Linked DNA regions of Xenopus tropicalis. The protein of the gene in region 2 interacts with the protein of the main gene of each other region in a pairwise test. Links are inferred from orthologs where the notes say so. Each region holds a gene or a part of one and is shown on either strand. Other genes may lie near its edges.

Evidence for each region.
Region 1: the proteins of pld1 (region 2) and pea15 interact in a two-hybrid assay, tested with the Homo sapiens proteins (2 studies listed by BioGRID). The link is inferred for Xenopus tropicalis from reciprocal best matches to the Homo sapiens genes PLD1 and PEA15.

The regions. Positions count from the first base shown.
Region 1 is NC_030684.2:138,137,013-138,145,643, forward strand, and holds the start of pea15 (astrocytic phosphoprotein PEA-15), read left to right. Parts: upstream 1-2,869; 5' UTR 2,870-3,087; intron 3,088-8,631. UniProt on the Homo sapiens protein: Blocks Ras-mediated inhibition of integrin activation and modulates the ERK MAP kinase cascade. Inhibits RPS6KA3 activities by retaining it in the cytoplasm. Inhibits both TNFRSF6- and TNFRSF1A-mediated CASP8 activity and apoptosis.
Region 2 is NC_030681.2:111,351,964-111,360,633, reverse strand, and holds the start of pld1 (phospholipase D1), read right to left. Parts: upstream 4,997-8,670; 5' UTR 4,984-4,996; coding exon 4,884-4,983; intron 1-4,883. UniProt on the Homo sapiens protein: Function as phospholipase selective for phosphatidylcholine. Implicated as a critical step in numerous cellular pathways, including signal transduction, membrane trafficking, and the regulation of mitosis.

The DNA.
Region 1 (8,631 bases), on a different chromosome or scaffold from region 2:
TTCCTGTGCAGTCCCTCCCAGGGCAGTAGGTACAGTGGGTTCCCTGGGTATCTGGGGTAAGTACTTCCTGTGCAGTCCCTCCCAGGGCAGTAGGTACAGTGGGTTCCCTGGGTATCTGGGGTAGGTACTTTACTTTACATTACAATAATAGTAACTTATTACAAGCAAAATTTCAGTCAGAGCTGGACTATCAGTGACTGTTATTACAGTAACCTTCCTGTAGGTGGCGCCAGTACAAAACCTGATCTTTATCCCATCCCAAAGCTTAAGCAGTTGCATTAGATAGTATCTGATCTGCCAGGATCCTCCCTACACCCAGCATTTCGTTAGATTGGAGCTCTGATACCCTGTGTGTGAGGAGGGTGGGGGGGGGACTTCTGCTACATTGTTTCTACAGTCAGAACCAGAAAGGGCTAAACAGATAAGGCGTCTCTTCCTCTAATAAGATAATAAATATGAATATTTCTTTGCTGCACGTGAATTAGAAAAGGTTATTAAATCCCAGGGAAGGAGATCTGTGCAGCCTGAGAAGGTAATTGGCAAAAATGCATTTCATTTCCCTCTATTAGTTTCTGTAATGAAATAGCGAATAATGCGGCTGTAGCGTAGTAACAGGAGGGATTAGGTGCAAATGTAATTGCTATTAGGAGCGGCATCTGTCTGCCCTTTCCTAGTATTATCTGCACTGCTGGTCCCGACTGCCTGTACCGCTCCAATTCCCATAATGCCTTGCACACTTTTGTTCATCACAGAACAGGCTGAAGGAGAGCTGACTACTGCGGAATTGTCTCAACAGTACATGTAGTCAGAACCAGCAGTGCAGAGAATAGCTCCTGGTTAGTGTGCCTGAACCCCCGAGGTAAAAATTGGGCAGGGTAGTTTGGGATAGCCGGGGTATACAAACAAGCACTTTTAACCTTTTTTTTTCTCCCAATACAGAAGCAAATATTAAAGGGGAAGTTAATCTTACTATGATCTTGTAGATTGTAAGCTCTTTTGGGCAGGGCTCTCTTCCCCTCCTGTATCGGTTACTGATTACCTTATATGTTACTCTGTATGTCCAATGTATGGAACCCACTTATTGTACAGCGCTGCGGGATATGTTGGCGCTTTATAAATAAATGTTAATAATAATAATATGATGCAGCTGTGCTGAGTTCAATTTCAGACAGGGCCCTATGCAAGGAGTTTGTATATTACCCCCACGTATGTGATGGACTTCTCTGGGTTAATTGGCTCCTCATCATTGACTGTCTGTTTGTGACTGTGATAGGGACCTTAGATTGTAAGCTCACTGGGGCAGGGACTGATGGGAATGGGATAGGGACCTTAGATTGTAAGCTCACTGGGGCAGGGACTGATGGGAATGGGATAGGGACCTTAGATTGTAAGCTTCACTGGGGCAGGGACTGATGGGAATGTGATAGGGACCTTAGATTGTAAGCTCACTGGGGCAGGGGCTGATGGGATAGGGACCTTAGATTGTAAGCTCACTGGGGCAGGGACTGATGGGAATGGGATAGGGACCTTAGATTGTAAGCTCACTGGGGCAGGGGCTGATGGGAATGTGATAGGGACCTTAGATTGTAAGCTCACTGGGGCAGGGACTGATGGGAATGGGATAGGGACCTTAGATTGTAAGCTCACTGGGGCAGGGACTGATGGGAATGTGATAGGGACCTTAGATTGTAAGCTCACTGGGATAGGGACCTTAGATTGTAAGCTCACTGGGGCAGGGACTGATGGGAATGTGATAGGGACCTTAGATTGTAAGCTCACTGGGGCAGGGACTGAAGGGAATGTGATAGGGACCTTAGATTGTAAGCTCACTGGGGCAGGGACTGATGGGAATGGGATAGGGACCTTACATTGTAAGCTCACTGGGGCAGGGACTGATGGGAATGTGATAGGGACCTTAGATTGTAAGTTCACTGGGGCAGGGACTGATGGGAATGTGATAGGGACCTTAGATTGTAAGCTCACTGGGGCAGGGGCTGATGGGAATGTGATAGGGACCTTAGATTGTAAGCTCACTGGGGCAGGGACTGATGGGAATGGGATAGGGACCTTAGATTGTAAGCTCACTGGGGCAGGGACTGATGGGAATGTGATAGGGACCTTAGATTGTAAGCTCACTGGGGCAGGGACTGATGGGAATGTGATAGGGACCTTAGATTGTAAGCTCACTGGGATAGGGACCTTAGATTGTAAGCTCACTGGGGCAGGGACTGATGGGAATGTGATAGGGACCTTAGATTGTAAGCTCACTGGGGCAGGGACTGATGGGAATGTGATAGGGACCTTAGATTGTAAGCTCACTGGGATAGGGACCTTAGATTGTAAGCTCACTGGGGCAGGGACTGATGGGAATGTGATAGGGACCTTAGATTGTAAGCTCACTGGGGCAGGGACTGATGGGAATGTGATAGGGACCTTAGATTGTAAGCTCACTGGGGCAGGGATAATGTATAATCAGTATGTGAATCTGTTGGATAGTAGTAGGTGCCGGCCCCTGAGCACTTACATGCCAGTAGCACACCGTGTATAGGCTGGAGATGGCCAGATGGCACCCAGTAACCCAGCAGCTGGCAGTAGAATATTCCCTACAGTGAAAGTTCCGACTCATGCAGCATTCCATCAATTTATTTACGCCGGACAAACCAAGCAAACACCCCCCCCCCTCCAAATTACACACTTCCTCTGTGTAGATGCTGCTATTCATTCTCTCCGTGTGCTGAATAATACAGAGCTCAGGGGCGCTCTCGCACACTCACACACTCTCTCGCACACTCGCACACACTCTCTCTCTGACATCACTCAGTACAAAGGGTGGAGTGAGAAAGCATTGGAATCAGTTGGGTCTGTGAAGGGGAAGGGAAATTCTCTGCTCATAGAGGGAAGCGGAGCCTGGCTGTCAGCTGAGTCACATCCACACAGGGACTAAGTGGCAGTCGGGCGCAAGGCACCCCATCCCTGGGCACTGAGTGGAGACAGTGGCACAGAAGGGGCTCTAGGGGGGCCACAGGAGCTTTGCCATCCATCTGGGGTACCCAGGACCAGAGTCTAAGGCTTGAGCTGAAGGATACGGTAAGACATGATGGGTGTGATTGTGTTTTTGGGGTGGGGGGGGGGGTGGATAGGATGTGGGACTCACAGGAAGGGAGTGGCTGCAGGGAGTAGTTGCTGTGCCCAACAGCTGGAAGTCCTTACAAATAGACCAGTTGCATGGCTGTCACTACTTATCCCGGGATGGGATTCCGGCAGCTGAAGTTTGTGCAGGGATAGTTTAGGGTAGGGCAGAAAGGGCATCTGGGGGGGCCCCACCAACAGCTGTATTCCACTCACTGCCCCTCCCTTACTCAGGGGCCCCAGACTCAGGAGCCCCACTCTCCCCATCCCTGCTTGCTGGATTGATGGAAAAGACTTTGTTGGACAGATCCTTAGAGTATGCAGCTGGGGTCCATGCCCACACCCATCCACATTCCTGCCCGTAGCTCCCCATTGGATCTGCCCATTCAGCGGGGCAGCACAGCCGGCATCCAGCAGGCACCGTGCCGGAATCGGCCAGCGGTTCTGGGTGGGATTTGGATCTTCAGAACTTCAGCTGCTTTTCCCCTGACTTGTGAATGACTTTAACCCCCCCCCCCCCAATGGCTAATTAGTTCCCAAACCCTTGCGGAAGTAGCAGCCCCCACCCCAGTAAGCCAGTAGCTGAAACAGTGCCGGAGGGGTGTGCCGGATAATGTTAAACCCCCAGATTATTGGCTCAGCCCCTGGCATTCAAAGGGTTAGTGCTGCATTTAACCCCCAGCTCCCTGGGCCAGTAAAACATAGTAAGGATATCCACCCTTCCCTTCACTGTGCCATCTCCGCCCGGTGGCAACGGTTCGATTCCCATTACATGGGGAAGGGGGTAACTAACCCCACATCTACCCCTTTTAAAGGGAAAGTTGCACTGCTGTACATCCAATACTGATAATTGTACTTCCCCCACCCTGACCTTATGGGAAGGCAGCATAGCTAAACCTGTAATACAGCATTAAGGGCATATAGGATAGGCTGCACGGCTGAACTACAACTCCCAGGCATTGGAATAGTACAGCGGGAGTTCAGCAATTACTGGGGGAATCTGGATACCCCCATTGAAAAAAGATATATGTATGAGATTAATGAGTGCATGTTATATACAGTTAATGCTACTACAATACACTAAATGGTGATATTAGGACTACATTTCCCAGCATCCCCAGCATTTATTCTGCTCTCATTGCTGTGCATTTACCCAGACGTTTTTCAGGGGTCGCGTCAAAATTCCGTAAATTCCCAAAAACTTAAATCAGTGAAAAACGCATTCAGGGACGTAAAATGGGGGTTCTACTGTACATAGAATCGATATTCCTTACGGCACGTGGAGGAACGTAAACTCTTCTGTCAAAAAACCTCTGCCTGCCCTCTCCTGGCGGCGTTCTAGCCCGCGATACGCGAAGGCAGCGCATTGATTATCTCTATCCCCTGCGGCCTCAGGCAGTGGGTATTAGGAAACCGTGTAATGCCGAGCGACAGGAAATCAAACGCTCCGACTGAGCGCAAGAGCACTGCTAGGGGCCACTATAATGCAGCAGGAATGTAGGGAAGGGGAAAGTGTTGGAAGGGTTACTGCCTGCTCTGCTCTCATTCCCCTACAGAAATAGGGGTTGGTAGCACTAGGTAGGTACCTAATATATAGGGGCAGAGACAGGGGAAAGTGTTGGAAGGGTTACTGCCTGCTCTGCTCTCATTCCCCTACAGAAATAGGGGTTGGTAGCACTAGGTAGGTACCTAATATATAGGGGCAGAGACAGGGGAAAGTGTTGGAAGGGTTACTGCCTGCCCTGCTCTCATTTCCCTACAGAAATAGGGGTTGGTAGCACTAGGTAGGTACCTAATATATAGGGGCAGAGACAGGGGAAAGTGTTGGAAGGGTTACTGCCTGCCCTGCTATCTGTGAATTATACTTATTAGTTCTTCCTATACTACAGGTGGGAGGAGCGGACCCCCTTATCCCACCCAAGTGATAAACATGTTCTCATTTAAAGCTCCCATAACAGCAATGGAATAGATAGAATCCCCAATCAGACGTGTCCCCGGCTAAGCTGCTCCCCCACCCCCCATAACATCTGCTTTATCTGCAGCTCTCGGGGTCAGTCCGTGCCTCGGCGCAGCCTGTGGGATATTTCCCTACGTTCCAGTGCATTTAGTACAATTCCCCAGTAGTCGGAACTGGCGGCGATTACAGTTAATATTGCCCTAATCCACTCCGGCCTCATCCCTGTGTATTAATCAAATGGAGAATAAATTCCCCTATCAGGATAATCCCCTTGATTGAAAAGAATTGATTGGATGGAGACATGTTTTTTTATTTGTAAAGGGAAAAGTCCCACTCAGTCCAGGACTGTAGAAATAGAAATTCAGGGGCCAATGCCACCCCCAAAGTATTCCGGGACTACCTGTGAGTCGAAGGATAATAAATAAAATATATGGACCAATCAGAGGTGACTGCTAATTAGTTGCTATGGGATGTTACAGCTGATTTTATGAAGAGCAACAGTTGGGGGACAGAGGATGCTGGGAGTGGTAGTTATCGGCACTTGACTGAGTTTATAACATAATACTGGCCTATATATGTGCGGATTTAAAGGTCAACTTAACCTTTAGATTCATTTTATATCTGTGCAGTTGTCACTTCCTTTCCAGTAGAACAGGAAATGCGTGGGGCAGCCATATTTTAAGTCCCATGGTGAAAGGACGGAATATGCTGAACTGCACGGGAAGCCATTTTTTATTAAGCCACTCCCAGATTCCCTTTCTAAATGATCAGGATGTACCAAATGTTATAGTGGAAGGGGGGAGCTACTTGCTTCAGTCACTCACCTTCTGAAAGATCAGGATGTACCAAATGTTATAGTGGAAGGGGGGAGCTACTTGCTTCAGTCACTCACCTTCTGAAAGATCAGGATGTACCAAATGTTATAGTGGAAGGGGGGAGCTACTTGCTTCAGTCACTCACCTTCTGAAAGATCAGGATGTACCAAATGTTATAGTGGAAGGGGGGAGCTACTTGCTTCAGTCACTCACCTTCTGAAAGATCAGGTTGTACCAAATGTTATAGCGGAAGGGGGGAGCTACTTGCTTCAGTCACTCACCTTCTGAAAGATCAGGATGTACCAAATGTTATAGTGGAAGGGGGGAGCTACTTGCTTCAGTCACTCACCTTCTGAAAGATCAGGATGTACCAAATGTTATAGTGGAAGGGGGGAGCTACTTGCTTCAGTCACTCACCTTCTGAAAGATCAGGATGTACCAAATGTTATAGTGGAAGGGGGGAGCTACTTGCTTCAGTCACTCACCTTCTGAAAGATCAGGATGTACCAAATGTTATAGTGGAAGGGAGGAGCTACTTGCTTCAGTCACTCACCTTCTGAAAGATCAGGATGTACCAAATGTTATAGTGGAAGGGGGGAGCTACTTGCTTCAGTCACTCACCTTCTGAAAGATCAGGATGTACCAAACGTCATGGTGGGGGGAGGCTTTTTTTTGTCATTATTTTGAGGAGGGAAGACATATTTAGTCACTCCCCTTTCCGAAAGATATACCACATTTCATGGGAGGGACATTTCTGAAACAGAATGTACCAAATTTCATGGTGGGAGCCAATTTTTGGTCGCTCCTTTCTGAAAGATATACCAAATTTAATTGTGGGGGGAGCCATGTTTTCGGTCCCTCCCTTTCTTAAAGATCGGGACCTTATGGGGGAAGCCATTTTTTCAGTCTTGAAAAAATGGGGGGGCGGGGCCCTTTATTCAGTAACTCTATTTATTCAGTCACTCGATTTCTATAAGATCAGGATGTACCAAACGTCATGGTGGGGGAGGCTTTTTTTTGTCATTATTTTGTGGAGGGAAGACATATTTAGTCACTCCCCTTCCGAAAGATGAAAGATCGGGATGTACCAAATTTAATGGTGGCGGGAGCCAGTTTTTCGGCCACTCCCTTTCTTAAAGATCAGGATCTGCCAAACGTTATGATGGGGGGAAGCACATTTTTCAGTCGCTCCTTTCTGAATGATGGGGATGTTCCAAACTTCTCGGTGGGGGAAGCTATTTTTATTCACTCCACCAAATGGGATGGTGGTGGTAGCCATGTTTTCTCCCTTTCTTTAAGATCAGGATCTGATTGGGGGAAGCCATTTTGTCAGTCACTTATGAGTCACTCTATTTTTATAAGATCAGAATATTCCATTCTTCAAGGTAGAGGGAAGCCATTTTTTTCAAGTCACACTGCCTCTGAAATTATAGGATATACCAAAGTTCATAGGGGGGAGCATGTCCTCTGTTGAGCAAAGGTCTGTTTCTTGATATAATGAGAACCTTTTCTATTAACCGTAGCTCCCAGCTAAATTTCACTACCTTTACCGAGGGCTCACTTCGTCATTTTTGTTTCATTTGATGCTGTTGGATATCTCAAAGTATTCATACCATAATTACTCTTCACTGGCTCTAATGTAACAGTGACCCCTGGTGGCTAAATGGCGGTTTCTATTATAAAAAAGGACAAGTTTTATGGGCAAGTTTGGGCTCTCAGTTGGTGGAGAATGCGGCTTGTGTGTTATGACCTATTAAAGGGGACCTGTCCAAATACTTTTCTGTTGGGTTGGTCAAGTATAATAAACATCACTTACGCTATATAATTTATATACATCTTGTTTCCTTCGGTCTTGGAATTACACAACTACGGCCTGCAGGGAGGCGCCATTTTGTTAGTAAGGAAAGCTTTATATCATGCCAAAATCTTGTTTATATGCCAGAATGGGGGGGGGGGGGGGCCTGATCCCCAAGAATTGGCTACACAATAAGATGGTGAGAAGAAGGGGGAAGTGTGAGGAGGGCAGTGACATCTAGGCAGTGCTGAATGGAAAGTGAAAGTAACTGTCTAAGACATAGAGGTGGGGCAGCCAATATATGATTGACAGCTGGGATTTTTAAATGCCTTTATAATGGGTATGGATGTGAGGCCCTTCTGTGGGGATTATACAGATCCAGAGGGCCACAGATCCCCGACAGTGGCCCTTTTATGGACAGCTCTGTATGTGCCAGGCCAAGGTTGGCCCTGGGGAGCCTGCAGCAGAGATATGGGCAGAGTAGAACAGAGCCGGTTCAGTCAGCGCATTGGCAGGCTTGGCATGTCCCACAGATAATGCTGGCATTTTAACTCCCCGTGACTGGGAGCGGAATGAGGCAACGGCTGGAAACCCAGGAGAAAGAGAGCAGGGAGTTGCACATTGTAGCCAGAGGGGACGCCACTTACTCTATCCCCTTATCTGCCTTAGATAAACAGCTTCAATTATAGACCAAAGGGGCTTGCCGGGAGTTGTATTCTAGTAATAGATGAAGTGCTGTCATGATATAAGTAAGGTTGCTTGTTTTGCACCCCTCACTTCCTGTCCCTCCCCTCAGTGCAGTATGGTTCAACCCCAAACAGGAAGTGAGTAATACACAAAGAACAGTTCTAATTACGGACCATACGGGGGTTGCCGGGAGTTGTATTCTAGTAATAGATGAAGTTCTGTCATGATATAACTAAGGTTGCTTGTTT
Region 2 (8,670 bases):
GAGGCACAGTAACTTCTACCACTTATGCCACCTTTAGGGTAATGGCCTACAGGGAGATTAATCACCCTCAGTTAAATCTTGGCTTCCATGGGTGACTAATCTCCCCGAAATGCCTTTCCACTGCAATAAAGTGGAAAGTAAATATAATTAATCGCCGGTGGGAAGGCATACACACCACTTTCCAAAGTAGTACGGTTTCCGTACTGGAAACGAAGCGACACGTATGCCTTTTCACTAGCGATTCACTTTATTGCCAGTGATTAACTGCAGGCAACTAATCTCCCCATTGGCCTTTAAACTTACAAGTAAAGGTGGCCATACACATTACAATAACATACTCTGCCTGCCCTATGCTGCCTGTGTGTGCCAAACTCTGCCTTCCCTACCCTGCCTGTATGCCATACTCTGCCTGCCCTACCCTGCCTGTGTGTGCCATACTCTGCCTGCCCTTTGCTGCCTGTGTGCCATACTCTACCTGCCCTACCCTGCCTGTGTGTGCCATACTCTACCTGCCCTATGCTGCCTGTGTGCCATAATCTGCCTGCCCTATGCTGCCTGTGTGCCATACTCTGCCTGCCCTACCCTGCCTGTGTGTGTCATACTCTGCCTGCCCTATGCTGCCCGTGTGTATGGCAAGGGCATGGGCATGTCCAGTTTGCTCCAACAAAAGATATTATAGTTATTTGCTATTAGTATCTAATACCATGGGTGACTAATCGTAAATCGCAGGTGAGAAGGCATACGTGTCGCTTTCCAATTGAATGGGGTTTCCTCCTGCAGGAAACTTTGTGCGACGTCTGAAAACAAAGCAATACATTTGCCTTTCTACTGGCGATTCACTTTATTGCTAGTGATTAACTGCAGGCAACTAATCTCCCCATTGGGCCATTAAACTTAGAAAAAAGGTGTCCACAACAATTAGTCACAGGAAAGATTGTTTGTCCACTCCACTAGTCAGACATGCAGGTAGAAACAATAGAATTCAATCTCTATTGACGATTCAGCATTAACTTACATCCAATGTTCGGGCGCCTGATAAAAATTTTCAGACCTGTCTGATCGGCAAGATAACAGATATCCAAGGCTTTTGCCGATATCGGTCTCCTCATCAACCCACCATACGTGCACCAAATATTTGCAAAACCGTGTTTCGTATGATAATATTAGTGTATCGGCACCTTAATCCCCTGTCTATGGGTATGTCCAGTTTGCTCCAGCAGAAGCCTTTAATGTTATTTGTTATTAGTATCCATTAGAAATAGACAGATGCTATCATATTGCATTTGCTGGGAGAACTACCCAAAACATTAGTTTTTACAATTACATTAAATCAAAATGTTTTTAACTTTGTTCTGATAGATCAGGGGTGGGCAAACTACGGCCCGCGGGCCACATCCGGCCCGTCAGCCCTTTTAATCCGGCCCGCCGTCTCCGCCCCCCTTAAAAGAATGAAGGGCTCTGATTGGTTGTGCCCCATGCGTGCGCACAGCGTCAGCACGCACAGGGCGCAACCATATAAAAGAATGCACTGGGGAGCCGGGGAACAGAAGGACGGGATGGAGGAAGCAGTGGGTCGCTGGGGAGGAGCTGAGAGGCCCCATAATTTTTTATGGCAGCCCCGGGCGTAACGCTGTCCCGGCCCGGTCCGGCCCGTATGTTAATTAATGTGGCCCCTGAGCTAAAAAGTTTGCCCACCCCTGTGATAGATTATTATAAGCACTGTGTAGATCAGGGATCCTTAAACCATATGTTGGGACCCTAAAATAGATCCCCACACTGTTTAGGGTAGAGCTCCATGATCCCCTTTAAGCCAGTGAGATGTTTTCCTACAACAGAAGTTAAGACTTATGTACAGTAACATTACTAATTCTATGGCAGTTCTCTAATTTCTTCCCTCAGTATTAAGCAGTTAAAAAAGAAGTGTTTTCACTAAATTCATTGGTGGTGTACTCTAGTGCATTCTAAGGGCTCTTACACATTAGCATTTTATCTGGCACTCTCCTGTGGTAGATTTCTCCTGCGCTCCTCCACAGTGGAGTGCAAGACGAAAAGCAGAAAAAAAAGAAAAGAAAGAAAAGACACAGGCGCATCCAAGCTTCAAACGCAGGTTGAACACATCACGTTGTGTTCCACCAGCGTTGGTGCTTTGATATGCCTGTGTCTGTACGTCTGATAAAGATAGCTGCGTCCTGCGCATCCCTGTGGTGAAATACAGGAGAAATCCACAACCTGAACATACCCAACATAAATAAATCTTACCCTTCTATTCATTTAATCATACACAGATATATTTCCTGTATTTAAACTCTATCAGCTATGCTTTGCCCATAATGGCAATATTGTGACATTACAATGGACCAAAAAGCACCACTACCTTAAAGGACAAGGAAAGGCAAAGTCACTTGGGGGTGCCAAAATGTTAGGCACCCCCAAGTGAATTAAACCTTTTAGGAACAGCACCAGCCCGGGGTAGCTGCAGCGCTTCCTCCTTCCTGTTTCGCGCGCATGCGCAGTAGAGTGAATAGTGGAACTTTAACAGAGAAGTCGGCTTTTTACTCTACTGCGCATGCACCGGTCGTGGGGTCCCGGCAAAACGAAGCAGGAAGCGCTCGCTACAGGTACCCCGGGCTGGTGCTGTTTTTTCCTAACAGGGGCACCAGCCCGGGGTACAAGGTAAGTGATTAAAGTCACTTGGGGGTGCCTAACATTTTGGCACCCCCAAGTGACTTAGCCTTTCCTTGTCCTTTAATATAAGGCAAAGCAAACTTTGACGTTAGTTTAAACCTGTGTTTTTAGTTTTCTCCACCATATGATTGTCACCTAGACAGTAAAAACAGGTCACAAATGGTGGCAACCCTACTTCGTGACCTCAGAACCAACAACATTCTTCATCTATGAGAAATAGGGTTGCCACCTCACCCCATTAATATCGACCACATATTTAGGGTATTTATGTTATTTATTAAAAAACTTCACAAGAAAAGATTAACATAGGTGAAGACACGCTGTTAGTGCTACTAGTAGCAGCTAATTGACATGGCTACTAAAACAGACAACACTGATTATTTACTGATAATTGTCTCTACCTGTGTTTTAGCAGAGGCAATTTTCAGTATTGTCTATGGCAGGGTATTTTCTGGCGTTTAGTAACCATGAAAAAGTAGCTGTTACTAGTTGCTCTGTGTGTCTTCACCCTTAATTCACATCCTGCATGGCTAATTAGCAATTAATTTAAATGCATGCTGCAGGCTAAACTGATTTATGTGCTGCTGTGTACTATGAACTAAATTAATTGCTAACTAGCCATGCTGGATGAGTATTAAATATGTGGCCTGTATTTAAGGGGTGAGGTGGCATCCCTAATCAAAAATAGCTGCTTCTCACACAAGTGTGTGCGCCTTTAGCTAGGATTTTTCTATAGACAAAACTCTCATCTTAGCACAAAGTTTTCACAGTAGCATAGTACTGCATTTCACCAAAACATTTTTTAAATAGTCTAAAAATGTAAATTTTGAATACCCTGGAAAAGTTTACTAATGGCACTGCACCCTTTCCAAAAGCCCAATTTTCCAATTCTAGTCTTTAAGGAGACTTTAGGTACTAATCACCTTGAGTTTGTATGTGTATTTATATGCCATTTCAGAGGTTTTTGATTGTTTCAGTTGTTTACTCCTATGTCTGGCTTCTAAAAAGTTACTACTTAGATGTTTTAATTAGAAGTTTTTCAATGATGAGTCTCCTCTACCCTTTGTAGGCATAGTGACATATCACAAGCCTAAAATTAATAGAAGTGCATAAATATAGATACAGTATTATGTGATGTACAGATTTCTTTATTTTACTCGTATAAAGGTAAAAGTATAATGTGGGTCACAAATCATTCCCTCACCCAATACAATATATTGTATATATATATTCATTAGCCAGATGCAAGGGATCACCATCACAAAGGGCACGTCACCTCTTCCCATATCCACTTATTAAAGATTCTGCTATGCTGACATTTTTCAAACCTACACTAAAAACCACTGTGCCGTTTGCTGCTTCTTTTCCAGTAATATAGGGATTAGCATGTATTTATCTTGTGGGAGTTTAATGCAACTAAATGTGCAACTAACAGTTAGGAGGAGGGGAAGCATAGACACATGACTATAACACACATTTTTTTCCAGAGTGGTGACAGAGACCCAATGAAGTTCTGTTGTAGCTACAAGCAGCAACAGCAAAACTAATAAATAGTCACAAGTAGTATAGTAACAAGTATAGTCCACTATAACATTATCCACTCAGTTAGATTTATTAATGGATCAGAAGTCCTCAGATGCCTAGAGATACTAGGCAAGGTATCTGCCTACGCAGTTGTGAGGCAATACATGTAAATATAGTCCTTGGTCTGTACTGCACAGTCCTACAAGTCTGTTTTGATTCCCAACCACGTGACAAATTAAACATCTATTTTTGAAAAATGGAAAACCACACACGCTTGCCTCACTTATTTACGTTTGCAGTTCAATAATGTTAGCAGACCATGCGGAAAATTGGGGCTGCTTCTAGATAAGAAGGGTTGCACTGAATGCATTTCATTGAAATTCAATCAGTTTGCAACCCAACAATTTGAATTTATTAACTCTCCTTGAGTGTTTTCAAATGACTCAGTACAGTAATAGTAATTACAGACAGCCATGTACTGCACGTAGACACATATATACATACTTTGAGATGAGGACAGTTACAGAAACATATCAAAAGCAGCACCCTTTCTTTCTTACAAGCACAAATACTCCTGTCACATTGCCATAGTACAGAGAACAACCCCCTCAATACAAGCTTCCTGGTACCCTGCAATGCAGCACAGAATCACAGACATAACTCTCCCATGTTACCTGTGCGTGACAATGCCGTGTCGTAAGATTCTGTTTCTAGAGCCTTGAGGAGGTGGTGGTGTTCAGTGAACAGCTGAAACTGACTGCAGGCTAAAAGCATCCGGATTCATTGAGCAACCTGTGAGACACACCCGCTAACAAAATAATGCAGGCAGCTTTTCCAGCCACTTAATGCAGTTACTATAAGCAGCGAACAAGTCATTCTGCATTTAAAGAGAAAGCATACATTTCAGCATTGATTAGTTGGGCTTCTTGGGACAGATTTGTATGTTTTGTTATACATTGTGCTCATGCTAAAAATTAGCACTGTGCAGGGAAGTTTTAATAAATGGGCAAAAGGGGCAATTGCGCAGGGCCTACCAGGACTGGGGGCCTACAATCAGACTTTTCATCTGATGCACCCCCCAGTATTGTCAGGCCTCTCATTTTAATCAGCTGGAAGAGGTAAACATATTCCTGTATATTATTTTTAATAGAAGCTGTCATTCGTGATCACAGTTTATCTTTTCCCAACACTGTGGTATTGGCTACCAAGCCTCGACGTCATGTCTGTTTAAGTAAGCACAGATTTTTTCTGTATTTCCTGCCTTAATGTATTCAAATACTGAATATTCAAATACTTAGGCCTGAAGGCAGGCCTAACAGCAATGTATTAGATTAGTTGCAGGGGCCCACCAGTGAGCTCTTTGTTTTGGACCCATTGGTACCTTAAAGGACAATGAAAGGTTAATATAACTTAAAAGTAAGTCTAAAGGCATTCTTTTTAAGTACTTACTGCATATCTAAATTCCCAGATCCCTGCTTGCTTCTCTGAGATATGGTGCTGGCAGCCTACAGCAGACTACAGTGACATCACTAAAATCTCTCTGTCCTTCCTGTAGGCTGCCAGTGGCAGCCTTCCTATTCTCTGAGCATGTGTGTAACTTGATCCTGTCTCCTGTTCTGAGCTACACATGCCCACCAGCCAATCAGAAGCCGATCTGGCAGAGGGGATGGGGGGAGGGAATGAAACACATGTGCAGTATGAAGCAAGGAGGGAAAGGAAGGGAGAATACTTTTTTAGAGATGGCTGCCTGTTCTAGAAAATGTGAAGTAAGTGTGACTGAGTAAATATTTGATTAGGTGAGCCAAAAGTGTGGCATTTTTACTAAACAATAGGAGGACTATTGGGCAGTATGCTTTTTAAATTTTGACTTGCATTCTCCTTTAAAGCAGCCCTGACACTGAGTTGACTGTTATAGGGTCCTTGTAGATAGTAAGCTCTTTTGGGAAAGGCCCTCTTCACCTCTTGTATCGGTTATTGGTTGCTTTATATGCTACTCTGTATGTCCAATGTATGAAACCCACTTATTGTACAGCGGAATATATTGGCACTTTATATACAAATGTTAATAAATGTTAATAGGGAGGGCTATCTGTATTTATTTTATACAGATAAATTAAGGTGGAATTTGAGACTATATAGATAGACTATAGTGGGGGCAATTGCACCAGCAGCACCCCCCACCCCACCCCCAGCAACTGATCACATCATCAGATTTGAAAGGGGACACTGGCAACACAACTAAACCGAACTAGGGTGGCCCTAGCCGGAACTATTGGTAGGCAGAAGTGGCACCTGCCTAGAGCTCAACGTTTAGTGGGCCTCTGGCAGGAGCCTCTCTTGCCTACCCCTAGTCCACGCTCGCTTATCATTGCCCCGACCATTACGTGGTGTGGTGGGGGCAATGACTGCCCACACTCCAACCCCCCTGGTGCTGGGTTGCTTGGGCCCGGTCAGTGTGGCCCTAGCAATGCTTGTATGTAGCTATGTCTGCACAAGAATACAGGTTTTGATACCACTGAATACAACTCTAATTGGGCAGATGAAAGGGGCATATTGCAAAAATATGGAAGTCCATGGAGTTGAGCATAGAGCAAATATACTAAATAAATAAAATATTTATTTTAAAACACATTACTTTTGGTCTTTGGATAACAGGTCTTCACAATGTACTGCAAAAAAATTATTTAGGTATTGATTGTCCTTTAAAGGATGTTTTTGTACTTTCTAAGTAGTTTTATCTTTTGAGATTTTTCTGAGATTTGTATGACTGGCTAATGTTGGCCAGATTAGTTTTAGTTTTGTTGCTGTTGCTGAATGAGCAGATGACATTGTGGGCAATATGTGGGTGAGGCAGGACTGCAGGACTGTGCTGTGCAGTTATCTCTAGGCACATTAGGTAATTGTGTCTCTTGGATGACTGAATATTCTGCTTAGTTATGTCAGGAAAGGTTCATGTTTTGGCAAAAATTGATAGAGAAGCGGAGCACAGAAAAAACTTGAGAATAAAAACATAAATTTATTTCATCATTTAAAAATAGGTCAGAGCATATTCACCTCTTTAGCTTAACGCGTTTCGTGGTAACACCACTTCCTCAGAATTGGTCCCATGATACTCACATACCTTCCAACAGTTTGCTCTAAGCAGTGTATTTATCAGATGGTGAGTTCTAATTTTCACTCATTGATAAATACGCTTCTAAAAATCTAAAAAAAAAATCTAAAAAGATGAATAGACTGGGGGTGAGATTTGATATATTAAGTTCTAAACTCACATTTTGATAAATCTGCCCCTTGGTGTTTTTTGGGCACATTCTGGGTCCTTCTGGGTGCAGGCACAACTTTAAGCATAGCAGTGGTTTGTCAGCCTGTGCTAATTTGCAGGCTGGCAATCCACCCTGTGTGTCCTTGCCCTAAGATGTACTCTTGAGTCTGGAGCATCAGATGTAAGGAGGGCTTTCTGCCTGATTTTGTGGCAAGAACTGCAACTGAGATGGGATACAAATAAGATTTGGCAGTTCTTGGAAAGAACTTTAATGAGGAAAATAAAAAGTCTATACTGGAGCAAGAGAGTCCAGGTCATGATGTCATGCTGTCTTGCTCTGGGTGCTTTTTTTCTGTAGGTAAAGCAAAATGTTTATAACCATAATGTTTGCTGACATTCTTTAACCAGGAGCCATCTAGCAGTTGGTTATTGCAAATTCATACAGGGGCTTTTAAGCTGTGAAGGGGTATTTCAATCAGCTTAAATTGCTTGAAAAGTTCTCAGAGACCTACTTATAGCGTCTTGACCATCTAGGATATCTGTTTAACTCTCTGGATGCTTTTTTTGTTTACATTCCCTAGACCTTTGTTTACAAAAAATATAGATGTATAGTTGTATACAGTATGTATATATATATATAGTTGTGTATGTATTTGCTTGCAGCTTCTGGAGTCAGCTGCTATTGATTCTTTGGTTATAGCTTTCCTTATAACTTCCCACAGCCCTCCTGTTATGTTATAATCTCTACTGATGCCAGGAGTTTAAAAGCTAGTAGTGGCCAGCCAAATGGAGCCATAAACTGAACTCACTATAGCAGAAACAACTCCACAGATCTCTCATCAAAAGAAAAATAACATAATGCTGTGTCAGCAAGGGTACTCCCACTGTTCACTAGGAATATGTTTAACCTGTGCCTTGCTGAAAGACTTGCAAATACGTCTCCCAGCAACACGCTTTGTCAACATTGTTTTATATCCCTGTAGTAAAGACAAAATATTTCTTCATATATTCTGTAAAGTACCTTCAGGAATCCATTTGCTCCATTTGACAAGATGTTGCTCTCACTCTGTGACTTTACTCAGTGCCCCTGCAGTAAAGCTTCTGTGGGCATGGCTGAGTTGTGATTCTGTCAGTATGTAGGAGCACGGGCAGCCGAGGGTTCCCAGAAAGCAGGAAATGAGCACACCAAAGAAATCATG